Mus musculus: one gene and its partners. The protein of the gene in region 4 interacts with the protein of the main gene of each other region in a pairwise test. Links are inferred from orthologs where the notes say so. Each region holds a gene or a part of one and is shown on either strand. Other genes may lie near its edges.

Region 1 (4,787 bases), about 12 Mb from region 4:
AGGGTCTCATGTCTATGACAATTCATGACAACGTTTATATAACCCAAAATAATCACCTGGTTAAACTCAACATTTTGGGAGTGAAAAGCATTCGGGTCTTTTGTCATTTCCAACTGCGTGCGGCCAGGAGAGCCTTCGATGTGAATACCAGAAAGGCACAACTCATTGATGTTCCCTCCGCAACTCCATGTTATATATTCTGCTTGTAATAATGTGGTAGAAATGTCAGGGATACTTGGTCCTGGTTTTGTTCAGACACATGGAATATGTAATTTTCTAAGGACAACCCAAGCTGAAAATTCTAGAGGTCCTCAAAGGCCGGCATTCTCATGGTTTCAAAAAGACATGTAATTTGGACAAGCTCCTAGGAATAAAGATATTTTTAGATTTTCCACTGAGTGTTCACCAGGTCTTTCTAAATTAACTGGCTATCCCATTCTGGTCAAATATTCAGATATATGTCATTAATTTTAAAAAAATAATTATCATATGTGCTCTCAGAACCATTCAAAATATAAGACCCATAGTTTTACATTTAAATTATAAAAGTAATTTACTGGTAGTATTTGATTTTTTTTGTTGTTGTTGTTGTTACCAATTACAGTTATTTGAAAATTGGGAGTGTAGAAAGGGATTCAATATGTAGCTCTGGCTATCCCAGAACTTGCTATGTAGACCAGGCTGGGCTCACAAAGAACCACCTGCCTCTGCCTCCATAAAGGCAGGACACCAATGTCGCTGCTGACACACACTCACACACACACACACACACACCAGCTCTGTTACAGTCATTTTTAAAAACCATTAACAATAAATTCTGGAGACCACTGACTTGGTCCATATCTATACTGAAAACCAGAAAACGTTGAATTCTTAACTCTGGAAATCTACTGATTTGGTTTGGCTTGGTTAACTTTCCATTTTATTATTTAAAAAAAAAAATTAATCTTTCTAGGTCAGTCCCTCATCTTTGTGAAAGAGCAGTATATCTGGGAGGAGTTGAAGAAAACAGTGATTTATACCGCAGCACCTTCCTCTCACAAGCACCAAGCTGTTTCTTTTCAGATCACTGCTTCCAGGGATTTTTTTTCCTGGAAAAAAATCAAAATAAGATCCGCCCCCCCCTCGCACCCCCAAATTACTGCCCTTGCAAAATAAAATTCCCCAGGTGTCTGCACAGAGCTGAATTTTAAAGGGCCACTTTACACCAACAGCCTTTAAAAACAAACTAAAGGCAGGCTTCAAAATAATCCCCTTGGCCTTGGAGGCTGGCTGTGGGGACAGGTGCAGGACATGCCTTCCTAGAGGCTGTCTCCCATGATCTGACCTCCTCCAGCTGGCAGCTTGGCACCCCACAAATCAGTTATCAGTAGGCCAAAGCCTGCATTCCCATCTGCGCTTTCCAAACGGTTCCTGTTGCCAAAGGGCTCAGATTGACCTGGCTCTCCGATGAGAACAAGCCTCCCATGTGACTTGCCAAGTTCCCCTGGAAGCATGTCTAAATTGTACTCTCAGTTCCCTCCTTAACCCCTCAGCCTCAGGGTTCATGTTCCCTTCCTTCCTCGAGTTTCCTAACACCGCCTCCTCGTCTTGACCCTCCGACGCCATGCCCTCTGCATCCAAACCGTTGCCCATGCTCGTGGCCCTGGTCCCTCCTAAAAGACCAAATTCCAATCCACTGGGCATGGTTGCAACACTTCCAGAGCTGTTTTGAGGGGATCTCTTTGGGGCCTACCTGTAGGCAGCTCGGCTGTGACTTCCTCTCTCGCCTTCTCCAGCTTCTCTCTTACCCAGGGAAATTCCTGGAGGGAATCGAGGAAGGTGTCAAAAGCTTTGGGGCCCCTGGAAGGCAGGATGTCCAGCAACAGCATTGTCTTCCGGAGGCCTGTGGTTTGAGCTTTGATTTCTTGAATGTGGTTTTCTGTCAAAATTCCTTCCTGGTAAAGGTACTGAAGAACCAGTCCTTCCACCAGTACCTCGGCACCCAGCTCCAGACGCAGGGAGCGGAGTACCTGCTTGTCTCTGGCTTCCATTTCTTCCTGGAAAGAGCCAAAATGAGCACCTAGGTTTCAGGAATGCTGATGGACACCCCCCCCCCCAAAGTCAGTGTATTGCTGCAAACTCATTAATGAGCACCTCAAAAATCAGTCAGGTCTTTATATCTTAAGAGGCTGCTGAGCCACGGTGTTTCCTAAGCGGCTGTTAAGCCAAACCACGGATATTTCAAACACTTCCCGGCATAATGAACGACACTCATTATGGATGTTTCTACCTCTGCTTCTCACGATAATGGGGCCCTATTTCAATTCCTTGTGCAGTAAGAGAGCCAACAGAAAACAGATCTGATCCCTTACTTAAAATGCAATCCCTAAGGATTACAGATTTATTAATCTATTTATATTATTATATAAAATTAAATGCTAGAAAATAGTGGATTTCAATATTGCTTTGCCAGAGTTAGTCCAGCACCCACGCTTTAGAAACTGCTAAAAAGCACCAGGGACATTTATTTATAGACCCTGACCAGCAATAGAAGACAGTCCGGAGGAAAGAAGTTTATAGAGCATTCAAAGAAAGGACAAGCACCCTCAAGAAAATGAGTGTTTGTGTGCCTTTACCGATAAGCCTCACAAGAATTCGGAATGTGGGTCGCAGTAGGGCCGTGAGCACGCATGCATGGGACACTGAATGAGCTCAGGTCGCTAGTGTGCTGCGGGGTGGCTTGCGGTGGCAATGAAGGCAAGGGGAGCAAGGGTGGCGGGCGGGGCTTCTGCCACCCTCAGCCCACACAAGCGGGACGTCGGATCCCAGCCTTGCTCGCGATCTTCCGCCAAATCGGGAGGTGGCAGGTGAGGAGGGCGTGGGTGACCGTTTTGTTTTGTTTTGTTTTGGCAGCGTGTTTCCATTTGGAACTTGTAAAAAGTTCCCTGTCTCGGCAGCTGAAAGCCGTGGTTGTGGCACAGTTAGAGCTACCGACGATTTTCACGGTAAATGAAGCCGCAGACTGTCCTCTCGGAGGAAACCGACCCCCGGCACCGCCACCCGAACCCCGGTCCAGCCCCCGGGAGAGCCGCGCAGGGGCGATGTCGCCACGGCGCGGGGACAGCGAGAGAAGATGGAGTCATCTTACTTACGTCTGCGACCACGTACCGTTTAAAAAAAAAAAAAAAAAGAATAACTAAAACTACAACCGGAATCCAGACTGCTAGGGAACCTGTACCATAAAGACCATCTTTGTTGAGGGCAAAAGTCCTAGACAGGAAGTATTGCGACCATCTTTGTTAAAGGCAAGAGCAGGAAGTGCTGTAGCCATCTTTGTTGAGGGCGCAAGACGTCAGGTTGAAGTTTGTTCCGCCATGTTTGCTGTGGGAAAAGAGGCACACTCTCCTACATTAAAAAAGAGAGAGAGTGGTTTAAAAACTCTAAGGCAGTAGTTCTCAATCTTCCTAATGCTTTGACCTTGTAATATGGTGTCCCCCAACCATAAAATTATTTTTGTTGCTACTTCATAACTAATTTTGCTATGTTATAAATCCTAGTGTAAACATCTGTGTTTTCTGATAAGTCTTACACTGCCACTGTGAAAGGGTTGTTACAGAGCCACAGGTTGAGAACAGGTGATCTACGTTATCTAAGTGAAAGAGTAAATGAATTGTTGAATCTTAACAGAAAAAACTCCATGAGAGCCTGACTATAATAAGCTAGTCAAAAGTTAATCTAGCAGTTAAGCCCTGAGTTCAACTCCCAGTAATATACACCTACATGCACAAATTACTTCATAAAATAAAACAATTAATAAACTCATTAATTAGTTGGGTGACATGTAACAAAAAGGATGTGTGTGCTAAAAAAATTTTTTGACAATAGAAAAAGAATATTTCTACCAGTACCTCCAGTTGAAAATAAAATATCTATAAACATATCAGTAGACACTTATAAATCTCCTTCCTCAACACCTTTCAACTGTATGTGCAAACTTACAATGCTAATATACTCCAGGGTTTCTATGCAGGCACTAGCTGTCTTACTGACAGTGTTTTTATGTAAGTGGTAGGAATTCTTTTTAGCATTTCAAATCATTGCAGTCTAGAGAAGCAGGAAAGTCAATTGTATCATCCAAAATCTCACAGCCAATACAGAGTAAAACCTAAATTCTAACCAAGTCCCTCTGATCTCCTGCTCTTTCCAGTACACCACACAACCATGTATGATTGACTCTATTCTTCTAATGGCAGTCAAAATATTGCTAGTGAATCACCCAACTGTCACCTCCTTGCACAAGCTTGAGCTACACAGAGGGTCCTTCATTATCTTTAGCTCTAGAATCATTGGTCTTTAAAAAAAGGAAAACAATAAAAGGTGAATAACTGTCAACAACAGCTTCGGTGATCATCCAAATGAGTATAGAGATAAATCTCTTGTGCACTGTATAAAAACATTGACCTGTCAATAAAAAGCTGATTGGCCAATGAGCTTAGGCATGAAGTTAAAAGGTGGGACATCCAGCAGAGAGAGAGAGAGAGAGAGAGAGAGAGAGAGAATATGTTGGGACAGAGACAGGTGAGAGAATGACCCCAGAATGCTGATGGAGACCAAAGCAAAAACCTGAGGACCAGGTAACCAGTCATATGGCAGGATTTAGAATAGAATAATGGGGTAATTAATTTATGAGCTAATGTTTCTTGTGAGTCAAGGAACAGGCAAAGTTAATGAACTAGGTATTTGTAAATAGGTTTGAATCTCAGAATTTTTATTTCAGTAGCAGGGGCCAGGAGAAAAAACAAAAA
Region 2 (3,856 bases), on a different chromosome or scaffold from region 4:
GTGCGGATAGACGGCCAGAATCTGACGGTGACCGGCCAGCGGCAACACGAGTCGAATGACCCGAGCAGGGGCCGCTACCGCATGGAGCAGAGTGTTCACCGACAAATGCAGCTCCCGCCGACCTTAGATCCTGCAGCCATGACCTGCAGCCTGACCCCCTCTGGCCATCTGTGGCTCAGGGGACAAAACAAGTGCCTACCTCCCCCTGAAGCTCAAACAGGCCAGTCCCAGAAACCCAGGAGGGGAGGGCCTAAGAGCTCCTTACAAAACGAAAGTGTGAAGAATCCTTAGAGTCTCTTAGCGTTCTTCCTGCGGGAGAAGAGTTGAAGCCCAAACAGACTCGGCCCTGAGACTCAGGAGGGGAGGCCCTAGGCACTACAACCTACCCTAATGTATTAAACCGAGGTGTGCAGCAGCCTTAAGTCCTCCTGCTTTTTTCCTGAGGGTGAAGGGTTGGAGCTGTAGGGAGTAGGGTGACCAGGGGAGGGAACTCAAGGTGGTAGTAAGTACATCAATAATCAAGTTTCTGGCCCTGAGATAAACTAGGGGTGTGTATGGATTTAGCCAATAGCAATAGCTCCAGCAGGGAGCAGCAGAGAGCTGGGACAGCCTAGCTGTTGCCATTCAGAATCAGCTGATGGTCTGAACCAGGATGGACAGTGTTGAACCTGGCATGGAGGTGTCACGAAGGACAGTGGTAGTGATGGGCTGTAGCACCGGCCTTACGACCAGTACTCGGTGTTCCTCGTCAGGGAGAGGAGATATTTAAAAAAAAAAAAAAGGTCTGAGTCCTAATTAGGTCCTATCAAAAAACCCTCACAGGTCACTTCAGACACCAACAATCTTCAAATACAGGTTGCATATCCTTTAATGTAAGCTGGGGGGAGACAGATGTCAGCCCCAGGTCAGTCCTATCCTCTTCCACCATCAGAACTACCAACAGCAGGGCTTCTTTCTTTTGGTTACCATGACCACCAGCATCCTCTCACACACAGGGAGTAGAGCCATTTAATGAGATTGGATGATTCATTTAAATTAACTTCAGGAAAAACAGAGAGGCTACGTATGGCCTGATCAGCTGCCAGAGAAGGACGAGGAAGACAAGCGTGAGGTCGATCGATCGGCTGACTATATTGACAAGATACTGATTGGTTACATGGTGAAGAAAACATACAATACAAAATACAGAAAAAGTTGGTTCCATCCCTCCCACTCCCCCCCCTTACCCACCCACCCCCAAATACTCATCATCGTGATTTGGTCAGAACAGGGCTCAGAGCCAGAGGTCAGAGTGACCAAGGGTGGAGGGATCCTGGGCCATGGGTGTCCGGCTGTCAATAATGATGCTTAAGTAATGCTGCGGTTTCTCTCCCAGCTGGGAGTCAGTTGGGGAGGAGGCTGCAGCCTGATTGACAGCCAGCTGAGGGAAGAGCAGCCTGTCCCTTCCCCAGCTCAGGGCCTGCCCACTGCCCCAGCCTAAGACGCTCCCAACAAGTTAAGATGTGGGTGCTCTTGCTGAGTCCGCTCTCCAGCAAGAAGGGAAGAAAGGGTGACTGCTCCAAGCCCTGTCCCCACGGATGAGGAGCACAGGAGCATGGCTACTACCAGCAAAGGGCAAGTGGGGGAGCGGGAGAAAGGGACCTGGGAAGAGCAGAAGATCATATATATTAAAAAAGTGACTTAAGACTTAAAATTGAATTAGTATTTGTACAGAAAGGTGCAGGTGGAATAACTCCCTCCGGCCTAGGATCAAAGTTATGCGGAGAATTCTTGATGGACCCTTCCCCTGCCCCCAGTGGTGGCCCGAGTTGTTAAGTGCGATTGGTTAGAGTAGATTCCAGTCGGGTCATTGTGGTGGAGGAGTGGGGGCAGTGGCAGGTAAGGGGGCTCAGTTGCTGCAGCACTGGCTCCGGCTGGCTGGGTTGCTCTCCTGCAGATCCACACCTCTGGTTCGGCCCGGAGCCCCAGCCGCATTCTGGGGCTCATTCTTGGGAAGCTTCTTAGCTGTTAGGGAGAGAAGGGGAAGTAGGTTTTGAGGTCACCCTAACACTCTCCCCTACTCAGTGACAGCCAGAATACTGGAGGGCTTGTGTGCCAGGTATACTGTGTCCCTAGAAACTGAAGCAGAGAACTTGCCCAAAACCCGAGTGACAACCGGCATTGCCAGGATTTGAACTCATAGACAGAAGGATTCCTGAGGCAAATGAGCTAAAGTCCTATGGGGGAAGACATGGCAATGGAAGGCTCTGACATGGGCAGGGAGAATAACACTTAGACTGGTCCAGGCATTAGAAAGTTTTGCATCTGGGAGTCAGACGATTTTACCAGTTAATTTTATTTAAAAAATTTTTAATTTTAGGTATATGAGCACACTGTCACTGACACACCAGAATCGGATCGAATGATTGTGAGCTGGGAATTGAACTCATGATCTCTGGAAGAGCAGCTGGTGCTCTTAACTACTGAGCCATCTCTCCAGCTCAATTTTATAAGTTTAAATGGTAAAAATTCTGCTGGGGAAGATATCCCACAGACCCACTAGAGACTAGCACACAGGGTCCTGTTCTGCTCAGGGGAAGGACAGGGAGAGACAACTTACCTATTGCCATGAAAATTTCATTCACGTTCATTGCAGTCTTGGCAGACGTCTCCATGAAGAGCAAGCTGTTGTCATCTGCATAGGCTTGTGCTTCCTGACTCAGGCATGTGAGGAAGAGAGTGGGAGGGGAACATGGCAGATGGCAGGGCTAAGACCCAGGATAAGATCTTCCTTGGTCTCTGCCCTTATAAATCAAGAGACTGACTGGGCAAATGCAGGGGTTTCAGGCTTAGGGTTCCCCTGTTCTGGGTTTCCCCAAAACACCAGCATCACCTGCTCTCCACTCACACGCCACACCTCGCAGTTCACAAATATTGGCAGATTCTTAATAGCTTCCCTAGGTCCTCTCTGTCTACTTGTTCTTCAAAATCACCAGGCGAAAGATCCTCCTGGAGAGAGATCTCCTGCACTATGCCTGCACATCTGGACAAAAGCATGAGCAGATGTGGATGCCACCTGCAGCACTGTCTCTAGTCCTCAGCGGTTATAAGCAATCCAGGAGGCCATCGAGTTAGGACTGGAAAAAGATGAACTGAGGGGTGTGGAGGCTCATGATTGTAACCCCAGGAAAAACAAGAGGTTCAGGAGTTCAAGGCCAGCAGCCTGGGCTACTACATACTACATGAGATACTTCCTGCTCCCCACCCCTACAAAAAACATAGGACACTGTAACATATAGTACATGTGGTACACAGCATATTCCCATCCATGATGTAAAGTAAAAGATATGTACATTTTTGGGAAAACCAAAACCTGGGAATTCTGGATAAGAGAGGCTAAGTTTCTAGGATTAAAGACACTAAACTCATTCTCTAGGCCTTGTTGGAGTATTTGAAGTTTACATGCATGCATTGCCTAAAAAAGTACTGCTTCAGTCCATTTGGCTTACAAAGCAAACGTGCAGAAATATTACCTATCCACCCACTCCCACAACACAAAGACAATTCCTTTATGGCCTGTGCTTGAGTCCTGAGAGGACAGCAGATGAGAGCTGCCACTGCCTGTCACCTTACAGGGCCCAGGCAGCCTGGAGAGGCCTCCCTTACAGAGCCAATGCACCCTTCCCCAAGTTCTGTCACTTTACCTGAAACTCCACAGCTCTCTTGCTGGCCAGGTCTGCTTTGTTCCCCGCTAGTGCAATGACGATGTTGGGGCTGGCCTGCCTCTGTAACTCCTTCACCCAATTCTTAGCCCGTGCAAATGTATCCTGAGGAGACAGGATGGCAATGTCAAAGGGACAAAGGAAATAGTCTACTC
Region 3 (3,999 bases), on a different chromosome or scaffold from region 4:
CAAAGCCTGTATGCCAGGTACATGTTACCTTACAATACTCACTGAGCAAAAAATAAAGATGACTTCTAGCTCTGTCCAGTTTCCACCTGCCTGGCCATGTTCAGTTCTTCTCAGTTATGGTATGTACTATCTGTCTGTCTGTCTGTCTGTCTCTCTCTCTCTCTCTTTGCAGTGCAGGCAACTGAATCCAAGGTCCTGAACATGACAGCAAAGTCACTACCACAGGGCTGTATCCTGCTTGCTGGGTTTTGGTATAAGGATTTGTTGCTCATATAGTCCAATACATGTTTATTTTCAAAACTAGAAAAAGAACCCACAACAAAACCAGGAATGGATGCAACAGATGACACGCTATATGGAGACACTCAAAAAAGTGTGAAGACTATTGACAAAACTTAGACTGCCTTTCAAGAATGACCCAGGCTAACCCTGAAATAAACAGATGCTTCAGTGAGCCAATGGCAGGCCACACTGGCTGTCTGATATCTGCAAAGGACTCTAGAAAGGTTTAAATTAATGGCCAAAATGAAACAATGAAACACATAAATACAAATCCACATCTCTGAGCCATCTAAACTATCACAGGTATGTTCACTCATAAATTCTATTAGTTGGAAGGCTGAGGCAGGGGACTTCTCTGAGTTCAAGCCTGAGCTACAAAGTTAAGACTCTTGAGACCCTGTCTCAAAAGAGCAACACAAAATGAAAATCAAACAGCTCTGATCTCCAGACCCCAGAGGGGCCCACCTGCTGCGATCGCAGGCATGGGTGCTACAGGGCTGCTCCCCTGGGCAGGCCCTGTATGGTTCTGGTGGCTCCTGCCATTCATGACTCTCACCCTCACCAAGGCCAAGAGTCCTTCTAGCTTCCAGCTACTTTGGATGGCGACCTAAGGGCAGTTAATGGGTACAGAGGCACGATGCTTGCGTGACTACTCCCTATCCGGGAGCTGGCTATGCTGAGTGAAAGCAAACAATCCCGCTCTTGCAGGCCTGTACTGTCAGGTTCAGCTCCCACCCCACTGCCTCAGAGACGCTCCCCAACCGCCTTCCCTCATCAGGTCTCAGCTCCCAGTTCTTCCCCCAGAGGGGCTTTCTGGGACCGTCTGCACACATTCTTACATCTACTACAATTGCTTTCTTCATATCTCTTATTATTATGTGAAATGACCCTATTTATCTGGAGTTCACTGCCTGACTCCTTCAACAGAACACGCGCTCTCAGAGAGCAAGGGCTGTGTCTATCTTCTTTAGGCTGATCCCTTGAGTCTGGAACAGTTCCCAATAAACATTTTGATGAATTGGAATGAAATGAATAAACACAGATGTGATCTACAGAAAATCCCAAGGCTTGAGGCAGCCTCTTCTCACCTACCGTCAGCCTGTTAACACTCTGAGGGAAGAGAAGGGGAGAGGACTGACCCTTCCATTGCTGAGGACTAGTTTTGGAGGTTTTCTTACAAACAGATCCTACATACATTTCATTTCTCTTGAGGTATTCTGTGCTTTTATTTTAGAAACTGTGAGTACTTTTAATTCTGTGTGTCTGCATATAGGTATGAGCACCAAAGTACAGCTGCACAGAGGTCAGAAGGGTCAGGTCCCCTAGAGCTGGAGTTCCAGGTGGCTGTGAGCATGATGTGGGTGCTGGGACCAAACTCAGGTCCTCTGGCAGAGCTGCATATGATCCTAACCCCTGCGCCATCTCTCCAGACCTGACTTTGTTCATTTCTGATGGTTCTGGATGAGTGAGTGACTGAGACATATGTAGACGAGGAGAGCACAAAATGGCTTAGGCACTGAGAGGCTTTCTTTCTGGAAAGATTATCTCACAACACCCAGAAACCCCACATGACAGACACTGGCCGTTCTCATCTGCTTAAATTTCCTTTCGTGGACAGTCTCAGAGACTACACCAAACAAGCTGAGATTCTAACCACAAAGAGAATTCTGTTTGTGTTTGCCCCGAACAGAGGAAACCCACAAGATGCAGAGATACTTACTAATTTCTATAAAGAGTTCATTTATGTTTATTGCATTTTTTGCGCTGGTCTCTACAAAGATGGCATGAATGGAATCTGCGTAGTCCTTAGCATCTCTCTCCATGACTTCTCTGGAAGGCAACAACTGCGAGTCAGAGGTTCTGCCCCTTAAGACCCCCCCAGCCCCCATGTAAGCAGTCTTTCCAGTTACATGATCTTCCTGATAAGGTTTTATATAACCTCTATATTAAACACCCCTCACCCCCCCCTCCCCCCGTCCCCCGTCCCGTCCCCCGGGAAAACAAAGCCAAGGCCCTTCCTTTGGGAATCAGATGTGATACAGAGAGATTGTCGATAAAATGGACTTTTTGTATTCAGGTGCTCTGTGTCACAGCAGCCTGGGGAAGCAATGATCTCAGATAACGTCATGTGTGATAACACTAATGTTAGAGTAAATCACGCACCTGTCTACATGTAATATAATTAACTCCAAATGCCTTAAGTTTTCATTTTAGCTTGGAACTTCAGGGCCAACCATGTAACACAAGAAATTTTTCAATGTCAGAGATAAAATAAAAGCTAGACTCTTACCCTGGATGTGGCTCATTAGAAAAGGAACACATAATCAGCCCGGGAATCTCGTCTAAGAACTCACCTGACATCAGTAAGATCGCACTTGTTCCCTGCGATGGCAACGACAATGCTGGGGGGGCCGTGCTGGCGGAGCTCTCTCACCCAGTTCTTCAGAGTTGAAAACGTCTCCTGCAGTGTGAAAGGAGAGTAGCTAGAGGCCTGAGCAATACATGATGGCAGCTAAGAAGAAAAGAATAAAGTCTTACTTCTTTTGTGATGTCGTAAACGATGATGGCTGCTGCTGACCCTCGATAGTACATTGGTGCCAATGCACGAAACTGCAGAGGGAAAAGAAGCAATGAAACTGGATGGTCAGGGAAAGATGTCCTTTTAGCAGACTTTGAAGTCCATTATCCCTGCACAAAAGGTAATCTTTCTCTGAAGCCACAGAAGATGCCATAATGCTTTACAGCAAAAGAACCCATAATTACCAAAGGCAAAGACAGACTGTAGTGCAGGAATGTCTCTGAAGACAGTCTAGAAAACAGCTTCATAGGAATTGAATATGGGGCAATAAACAAATGTTTCAGCTAAAAAAGCTTTTTAATTGAACTCAATGTAGTAATTCCCAAATTCATTTGTTCAATAGTCCTTTAAACTTTGGCTTCCCAAACTAAGGAGATAAAAACATGCCGTAAATGGTTCTCCCGAGAAGTGGCTGCATTACTGGGTGTCAAAGAGATCACACTGTAATCTAGACATTGATTGTCCTAGACATGAATGCACATTTAAATTCACTGCTTGAATGAGTTTGCAAGTTGCTTTTCTGACATCTCCATGCATAGGTCTCATCTCTCTCACAATGTCACAATGCAAGCACAGTCTCTGCCGCCACTCTCCATCACTAGAAGGATACAGAGGCATAAGCAAGGGTATCCAATGGCTACTTCCCTGGACGCGAGTGGGATGGAAAATGTGAAGCTCTTTCCTCACTCAAATCTGGCTCTTGGGAAAATGACCCAGTGTGGTGTCGTCCCCCCACCCCCACCCCAAGGATCACACTGTCATTTTCCATCCTGACTTTGAAGCTTGGTCCCCAAGAGTAATCCATGTACTGCATCCTGCTCCCTTTGTGGTGACTGGGTAGTAGGCACTCTCCTCAGAGAGCACTGGGTGTACATATAAAACACACACAGCATCCCTCTGTCTCTTGTCTCTGAGACCCTTCTGATAAAGTAGTGACATCTGCACTGCAACGCCCATGAGGGAAGATACGTGAGGTCTGTCACATGGCACTTTTGCCACCTCTGCCCACTCAGTGGGGTGCTTGGTTCTTTTCATCTAAGAATGTATCTGCTATGTCTAGACACAGGTCTAGGGGTTTCTTGCAAATTTGTTCAATTTTTAAAAACTGCTCCTGTTCCTTTCTCCTTCCCTTCTACAGT
Region 4 (3,999 bases):
TTAAAGCTAACTTTCTTTCTTTCCTTCCTTCCTTCCTTCCTTCCTTCCTTCCTTCCTTCCTTCCTTCCTTCCTTCCTTCCTTCCCTCCCTCCCTCCCTCCCTCCCTCCCTCCCTCCCTCCCCCCCCTCCCTCCCTCCCTCCCTCCCCCCCCTCCCTCCCTCCCTCCCTTCCTGATGGTGTTTTGCCTCCGTGTATGTCAGTGTACCACATGCATGCAGTACCCTTGGAGGCCAGAACAGAGTATCTGTTCTCCTGGGACTGAAATTCCGGCTTATTGTCAGCACCATGTGGGTACAGAGCCCAGGTCTTTTGCAAGAACCACCAGTCCACTTAACCACTGAGCCATCTCCATACCTACTCACTCTCCCCTTGCTTACCCCCAATAGCTGGTACTACAGGCATTTGCCATAGGCCAGGGTCAGTGGGGGCATAGTCTAACAGTACTGAGCAACAACTGAAAGATGATTAGAAGACCCCATCCTTGTTTACAAAACTAACGTGCTAAAAACATGCTACACGTGGTCTTTTTTAAATTTTTTTCTTTCAAGACCGGTTTCTCTGTGTGGCCCTGGCTAGCCTGGACTTGGCTTTGAACTCAGAGATCTGCCTGCCTCTGCCTCCTGAGTGTTGGGATTAAAGGTGAGTGCCACCATGCCCAGGTCTGGAGTTAGTTTTACATAAATAGTTTTATTTGAGGCAAGATCCTGCCACATAGACTAGGTTGGTCTTGAACACAGTGACTCCTGTCTCAGTCTTTACAGTTCTGGGATTATCTTGCAAGTGCTTCAAATTACTGAAATTGTCCTGGCTTGGATTTCAAAGTCTGCTTCATAGAATTAGGTCTTGAATTCAGTGACCCTTCTGTCTCAGCCTCCCAAATGATGGGATTATAGATGTTTTCTATGACTTCAGCTAGGCATGGCCCATCACACCCAGCTGAATCTAAAATACTTGTGTGTGGACTGTGCCAAGTCATTGAGGTACATGGTGCTGTGCAGTCATTTCTAAAGCAGAGTCTGTCAGTAAAACAAAACCTAGTTTAGCCAAATCCCTTTTAAAGGGTTATTTTTGTTTATGTGTATAAGGTTTTTCTCACATGTGTATGTGTTTGTATATGTATATGCATGTGCTATGTGTGCCTGTGGAAGCCAAACCGTGTCAGATCTGAACTGGAGCTAAGGCAGTTATAAGCAGCTATACAGGTACTGGTAAGCAAACCCAGCTTGCGGTCGGTCCCCTGCAAGAACACTAGATGCTCTTAACTGCTGAGTCTTTTCTCTAGCAATGTTCAAGTAGATTTAAAGTAAATTTTTAAGTTTATGTGCACCTTGCGTGCCTGGTACATGTAAAGGCTGGAAAAGGGCGTGGGGCCCTCTGGTGCTGGTTGTGAGCTGCCATGTGGGCAATGGGAACCGAAAGCAACCCTGGGCCCTCTCTATGAGCAGCACACGAGCCCTGAGAAACCACCCCTGAGAAGGACTCTTGGCTCCTGTAAATTCTCAAGTATTATTAAACTCGAGGGGAGTCATTAGAAAGACTTGCATCCTAGAAACAATGTGAGATTCCCTTCAAGAAGCCATATTAGAGATCTTGCAAATGCTTCAAATTACTGAAATTGTCCTGGCTTGGATCTCAACATCTGCTTCATTGAATTCAGTGACCCTTCTGTCTCTGCCTCCTTAATGATGGGATTATAGATGTCTTCTGTCACTTCAGCTACCATGATTCCACTTTAAATATGATCATTTTTTCCTCTGAAAAACCTGCTCTATAGAAATCTAATAACAAATTAGATTTGATAGTGCCTCTGGGCAGGAGCTTCAAAAAGGGCATGGTATGGCTAAAGCTAAAATGGCCTTCCTTTTTTGTCCAAGTTTTCACAGAACATGCTGGAGCTTTAGGACAGGACTTCTCACGTTCGGGACCCTCTTCATTTGTACAGGCCAAAGAGCCGTGAGCCTGGGCACTTACCTTCTGCTTCAGGGAATGAGCCATCCTCCGTCTCACCGAAAGGGTTGGTGCGCCTAGGGGACAGCCAGAGGTCAGCCAGAGGTCAGCCAGAGGTCAGCAGTCCTGACAGCTGCAGCTGGCAAGATGCTTAGCACCTGAGCTCCTGGCATCCCAGGGTACCCCAGTAGCAGTCTGGTGGTGGTAAAGACATAGACAAACTGCCGCTCATTTTCCCAAGCCTGCCACCTCAGGTATTACCTGCCACCCCTGTTCTGGTCAAGGAATTCTGTTGCCGGAAGTACAATATCAAACTGAATGGGTGTCCCAGGTGCAATCAGTTCCTCTGTTTCAGGAATGCTGGCTGTTGCTTTGGGAACAATATTGTCATCTTCTATGTCTGAATTTTTTATGTTTTGACTAAAATATAAAAAGGGAGAAAATCTTGATCAAATTTTGCACTTGTTTAATGCTGCTGTGACTTTTACATATTGAAATACAAAGGAGCCTCCAACTGCTCTCAGGCCATTCTACAAATAAACCTTCCACAACTGCACGTCCTTGCTTAGAGCCATTCAGTTCTTCATGCTATAGTCAGTCCCTCTGCTGCTCACCATTCTGAGCAGTGCGTTAGGACTTACATAATAATTTCTCCCTTAGAAATGGGTTTTTAGGACTGAGGCTACAGCCAGCTCACACTGACACATAGTAGGTACTGAAGACATGTTAGCTGAAAAAACAAAACATCTGGACCTGACACTTCACTGCAACCCAACTGTAATTTTCTGAAAATCCCCTTTCCACTCACTAGACCACCGCTTGAGAGAGACAGCAAACATGCCACGTGTTCCTGTTCCTGTGAGTTCCATCCCAATGCTTAGCCAATTCTCCTTGCACCGGCTCCGTTATACCATTGTGCCAGCCATTCTTCTGTCCCTTCTCTGAATTCTCTGATACTTTTCAATAAGTCACAGTACTTGGTCCCCTGTGCCTCCTGAGCACTGCACTGTGTCTCATCTGCAGCTAGAGACAGCGCCTGTAAACGTAGTGTGCTTGCACAGTGAGGAGCCTGTCCTACACTGTCCTGCTGCTTCTCTTGAGGACAGAATGCTGTCATTTAACTTTACCCTTTAAAAATCCTTTTTAAGGTACAGTGCAAACTTTGAAGGGCACTGAATGTCACAACATTTCCATTCCTTACACAGTCTGGGCCACAAGAGCCCTCCAGAATCTTTTCACTTGGTATTTTTACATCAGCATTTTCTGGTTTCTCAAACATGTCCTAACTGAATACTTTATAGGGACTGCAATGGCTACTTGACATACTTCTATGCAGTGTTGCCCCTTTCTCAATCCTTTGGCCTGTACACTGCCTGTAATCCCTGAGCAGGAATCGCCAAGGCTTTCTGCAATGACTCAAATCTATCTGGTGGCCTTACCTATCGTTCTTTCTCACAGACCAATGCCAGGTGCCTAAACCCGGAGAAGCTACACAATCAGAGTTTCCTAAGGACTCCTGCCTTCTGGGCCATTAAGTATTTGTAGGACATCTGATGGAGTTCTTTCTACCATGCCACTAAAAGACACAGTTAGAGTCTTGATTTTAATATGCCCCTTGATGCCATTAATGCAACAGAAAGGCAAACCTCTCCTACCTAATTAACCACTTGAAAACTCCCACTGAGATAAGATGTAGGAGCTCTAGAATACATCCTTAGGCAGTATTCAGAGGAAAAGCTGTGTGCATGGAAATGCTCAGCTAATGGAGATGGGAAAACCAGGTGTGGGAGAGGATACCTGTAACTCCAGCACTTGGGAGGCTGAGGCAAGGAGGGCTACAGGGATGAGGCCGGCCAGGTGATCTGATGTGACTCTTCCCATAACCCCAAATATTCAATGCTAATACATGACTGTAAGACGTAGTATAAGAATTAGAGAAATGTAGTCAAGTAAGTGGAAACCTGGATGCACTTAATGAACCTATGCATATGCAGAGAAGGCTGAGCCCAGACCACGGACACACAGAAGGTGACACAGCTACGGTACCATGAT
Region 5 (4,658 bases), on a different chromosome or scaffold from region 4:
GGTTCCTGCCAGTGATAGGAAATAGGATTCAGGAACAACACGAATTGCAGGACAAACCAATCAGGCCTAACAAATTTGCTCTGGGAATCCATATGCAAACAGTCAAGAGTTGGATGCAGGATATAAACACCCTAAATATTCTAATGCAAAAGCATTTGACGGTTCAGAATCCCCTCAGTGTTGACCGAGTAACTCTATATCTTACAACGTTAAACAAGAAGAGCTTCACTTATATTGAGGCTCTTTTTATGTTAGAGAAACATGAAACACTGCAGTGTGGACAGGTCTCTGCCAAGGGGCTGGACATTGCCTTACCTTTGCTACCTTGTAGTCACACAAGTACTCCACCTCATAATTGTTTAGATTCCTTTTGGTGATTCCAATCGATTTACATGTGAGCTTTTCTTTTCTACATAATTCCTGGAGAGTATCAAGTGAAACTAGGCAAGGCACACACCAGGCTACAATAAGAAAATAGAATTCTTTACCAATAAAATAGCTACTAGGCTGAAACAAAAACTTAAAACCCTCTCAACTGACAATGTTATAGTCTAGAAACACATATAACAAGAAGCTACATATGTGTGTTTAAGAAAAAGTTATAGGATAAAGAACTAGTTTTGGTAAATTGGTTTACTTTCCAGTGGACATCTATCCCACTTTTACCCACATTGCCTAATTCTTGCTTGGCTAATTAAAATATTTCACATCTAAAATTTCTTAGGGTTACATATAAATGCGAAGGTAAAATGAAGTAAATTTTTTTACACAGAATAAAACTGTTCTCCTAATAAACAGCTAAGACATTTTGTTAGAAATATATCTAAAAGATATTCTAAAATGGCCACAACTTAAAAGTAACTTCACTTCTTTTAGTCAGATGATAAGAATTTAAATATGAAATCCATATCCTACTTTTTCCATTTTGTAAAAAGTCGAGAGATTTTAGCTTCATTTATTTTGTGCATGGTAAAATGTATTTTCATCATGCATAAGCCAGAGAATTCTACTTTAAGTGGAGAGCATAGTGAGCTTTGTAATACTTGTTTCCTACAGTTTTCAAGCCAGCAGTTACAAAACAGAATACAAGGTGGAAATATTCCATAAGCCAGACTTGAAAATCAGACATACTAAACAATACCCGTACGGAGGCCAGAAATGAACTGTATTACATCCTGGATTTAAAAATATAATCACACAACTGATGTCTAGAAAAATGTAACAAACTTCACTACCCCTACTATCAGGATAAATACAAGATGATCAAAAGTCCTCTGCTCTACCCGTTGGTGGGTCACCTAGCTACACAACTTTGGGAAAGTCCCAATCTTTTTGTGTATGGGATTCACTGGAAAAAAGTGTGTTTTGTTGAGAACAGAGGTGACCAAAGAAAATGTATCTCTAACTCATCAAGCTGTCTTTAGTTCTCCGAAGTGGTGGGCAAAAACCTTTTTAAGGTAAGTTTCCAGGAAGGGACAGCGTAACCGCTCAAATTTTCCCCGCAGTCCTTCCTCATCCTTCCCAGTAAGGACTTCATTGTCAGAAACCAGTGAGGATAGCTTCCGAACTCCAGTGACTGCAAACAACTCATATTTCTGGCACCTGCAAAAAGACTTTCCTTCAAATTTGCCAGAATACATTTATTTGCTTAGGTGTGGCGGTTTGGAGACAAGAAAGCTGTAAAAAACGTCTCATAAATCGCTTCTAAAAATCTTAAGGCTGTTTTGTCTTAATGCTAATCTCCTTATGCTAATCATCTGCAAAGGAGAGTCCTCTTGTTTATGTAACCAAGTTGTTTGCTGTTTTATTTATCTTTTCAATTTTTACCCCTAGCTGAGAATCTGAAAACACAACACTATAATGGAGGGTGGTGTTGAATCGGAGGATCAACGTACATATATTCGTATGAAAACGTCATAACGAAGCGTTACGTGTAATTACAATGCACCGCCCCTCGCAACAGAAATGCTACATTTTGGGGGCATCTCGAAATGTTAAAAAGAAAAATTGCCAACACTTGGTTTACAAAATCCCACAGCCAAAAATGATGAGAGGAAAACGCCTCATTGTCTAGATTATAACATCCCGTTTATAAAAACCATTCCACCATCCCATCCCCACCACGCTTCAAGGAGGCAAGAGCTACCTACGGGAATAATAGTGTCACCATCTGGGTGGAGCGGAGGAAAGAGCTGGAGAACAACCTTTTCATTCCAGAAGGCTTTGCACAACCCAGACTTTCAAAGGGCGCGCGACTCGAGCGCACGCACGCGCACTGCGTGCCCCGGCTTCAGCATCCACAGAAATAACCTGCAAGTTCCAGCCGGGCCCCCCAAAGTTTCCCGGAGCTCAGGGCTGCGTGTGCAGGCGCTTCACGGCGAGGCCAGACCCGCTCGAACGCAGGCACCAGGGGATTCCCTTTCTCCAGCACCGCACCTCAGCCCCGCCACCACCCCCAACCCCCGGCTCGGAGGTGGCGACCGCTACCGCCGCAGCGCGTGTGCTTTCCTGCTCACCCTTGAATAAGGCACCTCGTGCACACTCGTCGCCAAAGACCGCGGCCCGCGGAGCTCCGGACCACGCTCGCTGGGAGCCGGCGCGCCTCTCGCCCGCAGACGGCCGCGAGCGTCGCGCCGTCAGGGTCTCCGCGCGGCGGCGTCTCGCCGTTCGCCTGGCCTTGGGCCTCGGGGGCGGACCTGGAGCCCGGTGACACCGCGCTCCTGCCTCACTGCCCCGTGCCTTGGCCCTGGCCGCCGCCATCTTGCGGAGCTTTCATTCAAACTGGCGCGGTCAGCCCGAAGAACTCAGCTGGCCACACGCCCCGCCCCGGCCCGCCAGGGACTCCGGAGCGGGGAGGCTGAGAGGAGCGAGGCGTTCTGACGTCAGCGGAGACCGACCCCTGCGGTGGTAGCTACCGCGCCTGCGCCGCACGGTGGGGGCGGGAAGGGGCGGGGCCTTCCGTGGAAACTGGCCCTGCCCGTCGCTGGCTTGTTACTCGCTTTGACTTCGGAGGTCGCTTGCCATGATTCTTCATGCGGTCCCCTGAGTCGCTTCACAAAGACCTGACGTGCCCGCCACAAAACGCAAAATAGGCTGTGCGGGGTTAGTGTGCGCAGGTAGCTCCTTTCCCACTCTTGTTCCTCAGCACTTCAACCCAACGAAGCCCCACTACTTTTCCTTTCACTCCACACCACCAGGACTCAGGATCTTAAAATTTGACTGCATGTTGGGTTCACCTGGAGAGGTGCTGTCTGTTTAAACCACTCAAAGAGATTCTGATGAGTTGATGTGGCCATGTAGCAGCTGGACTCAAAGGAAAAGCCTGACAATTGTGAGAATCCAACCAACCCCGCCAAGAACCCTCTTAGTTAAGGCAAACGTAAAAGGTACACTTAGGACAAGGACTTACTAACATTAACAGACTTAAGCTGAGGGCAGGTTTTAGCCATATATGCTTGGGGAGAGTCAGGTCGTTCTCGGTTTTACCACTGTAAATCTGAAAACTTGTAAGAGGAACCATTATACACAAAAGACCATCGGCAATTCTGTAAGCCAGTCATGTCAATGCTATTCACAAGCACATACTGCCTGTCTTCTCTTCAGCCAAAACAGCCTAGCTGCCTTGACCTCTCCATTGCTCCCCTTCCAGCCACTTCCCACCCAGCTAAGGAGACTTTAAAACAGAAAATGAAACAAGCCTCAGACTTGCTTTGTCTGAGAAGCATGTTCAAGTCCTGACCCTTTTGCTTCCACTTTGGTGAGCTGGAATTACAGGTGCTAGCCAAAGCTCCCTTCTCCCCCAATAAACACTTTAAACTGGAAATCACGGTCTAGATCAAAGAACTGACTGACTCCCCTTCATGTGCTGCTCCCTCTCACGTGACTAGATTTAACTCAAATGTTACTTCTTCAGAGGCCACTCAGGCATTCTGTCTGGCTTTGTTCTCTAGCTCTTCTTTAAAAGCTTTTGTCAAAAAACGGTCAGGGTAGAGTCTTACAAATATTTTTGGTCTTGCTAAGTTTTATTTTAAAAATTGGCAAAGGATGCTGGAAGCAGAGGATAGCTTGGTGGAATAGCAGTTGTCTGATAGATCCAAGGCTCTGTGTTTTTTTGTTTGTTTTTTAGACAGGGTTTCTCTGTGTAGCCCTGGCTGTCCTGGAACTCACTTTGTAGACCAGGGCTGGCCTCGAACTCAGAAATCCACCTGCCTCTGCCTTCCGAGTGCTGGGATTAAAGGTATGTGCCACCACTGCCTGGCTCCCTTGTTTTTCTTAATTCTAGGGCATAGAGTAGAGCCAGCCACTCCAACCTTCCTCAGTGTCTACTCTCTATTCTCAGAGTGTAGAAGAGTAGGCCCGAAGCCTCTCAGGAAACCCATGAACACAGAACCCCAGTCTTCCCTGTGTAACAACTTTGTCTCCTGGTGACATGGTTAGCAGCTCTGCAAGTGTTCTGTGATCTTTACACACTAACCTGCACAAAACACACCTCTCAGAACATGTCCTCCTCGCTGAATGGCACCAAGCACTTTCTCCCGGATTCCAGGAATGCCCTGTCATTTGATCTCTGTGGTTTTTCTCATGGATGTACTGTAATTTTCCAGAACTCATACAACATGTATCATATCCTAACAGAGGAAAGTATATATTAAAACATA

Evidence for each region.
Region 1: the proteins of Appl2 (region 4) and Cradd interact in binary tests that used the Homo sapiens proteins (3 or more experiments, as listed by UniProt). The two-hybrid records come from large-scale screens. The link is inferred for Mus musculus from reciprocal best matches to the Homo sapiens genes APPL2 and CRADD.
Region 2: the proteins of Appl2 (region 4) and Rab5c interact in binary tests that used the Homo sapiens proteins (3 or more experiments, as listed by UniProt). The two-hybrid records come from large-scale screens. The link is inferred for Mus musculus from reciprocal best matches to the Homo sapiens genes APPL2 and RAB5C.
Region 3: the proteins of Appl2 (region 4) and Rab22a interact in binary tests that used the Homo sapiens proteins (3 or more experiments, as listed by UniProt). The two-hybrid records come from large-scale screens. The link is inferred for Mus musculus from reciprocal best matches to the Homo sapiens genes APPL2 and RAB22A.
Region 5: the proteins of Appl2 (region 4) and Suv39h2 interact in binary tests that used the Homo sapiens proteins (3 or more experiments, as listed by UniProt). The link is inferred for Mus musculus from reciprocal best matches to the Homo sapiens genes APPL2 and SUV39H2.

Annotation. Positions count from the first base shown.
Region 1 is NC_000076.6:95,320,851-95,325,637, forward strand, and holds the start of Cradd (death domain-containing protein CRADD), read right to left. Parts: upstream 2,860-4,787; 5' UTR 2,619-2,859; intron 2,040-2,618; 5' UTR 2,034-2,039; coding exon 1,736-2,033; intron 1-1,735. UniProt on the Homo sapiens protein: Adapter protein that associates with PIDD1 and the caspase CASP2 to form the PIDDosome, a complex that activates CASP2 and triggers apoptosis.
Region 2 is NC_000077.6:100,714,159-100,718,014, forward strand, and holds the end of Rab5c (ras-related protein Rab-5C), read right to left. Parts: intron 3,807-3,856; coding exon 3,684-3,806; intron 2,748-3,683; coding exon of another isoform or gene 2,694-2,747; coding exon 2,600-2,693; intron 2,005-2,599; coding exon 1,889-2,004; 3' UTR 845-1,888; downstream 1-844. Other genes in the region: Hspb9 (heat shock protein beta-9), read left to right, coding at 1-291. UniProt on the Homo sapiens protein: The small GTPases Rab are key regulators of intracellular membrane trafficking, from the formation of transport vesicles to their fusion with membranes.
Region 3 is NC_000068.7:173,694,003-173,698,001, reverse strand, and holds part of Rab22a (ras-related protein Rab-22A), read right to left. Parts: intron 2,893-3,999; coding exon 2,821-2,892; intron 2,744-2,820; coding exon 2,637-2,743; intron 2,113-2,636; coding exon 2,003-2,112; intron 1-2,002. UniProt on the Homo sapiens protein: Plays a role in endocytosis and intracellular protein transport. Mediates trafficking of TF from early endosomes to recycling endosomes. Required for NGF-mediated endocytosis of NTRK1, and subsequent neurite outgrowth.
Region 4 is NC_000076.6:83,606,729-83,610,727, forward strand, and holds part of Appl2 (DCC-interacting protein 13-beta), read right to left. Parts: intron 2,368-3,999; coding exon 2,209-2,367; intron 2,025-2,208; coding exon 1,972-2,024; intron 1-1,971. UniProt on the Homo sapiens protein: Multifunctional adapter protein that binds to various membrane receptors, nuclear factors and signaling proteins to regulate many processes, such as cell proliferation, immune response, endosomal trafficking and cell metabolism.
Region 5 is NC_000068.7:3,472,187-3,476,844, forward strand, and holds the start of Suv39h2 (histone-lysine N-methyltransferase SUV39H2), read right to left. Parts: upstream 2,801-4,658; 5' UTR 2,761-2,800; coding exon 2,517-2,760; intron 2,026-2,516; exon of another isoform or gene 1,846-2,025; coding exon of another isoform or gene 1,834-1,845; intron 462-1,833; coding exon 316-461; intron 1-315. UniProt on the Homo sapiens protein: Histone methyltransferase that specifically trimethylates 'Lys-9' of histone H3 using monomethylated H3 'Lys-9' as substrate.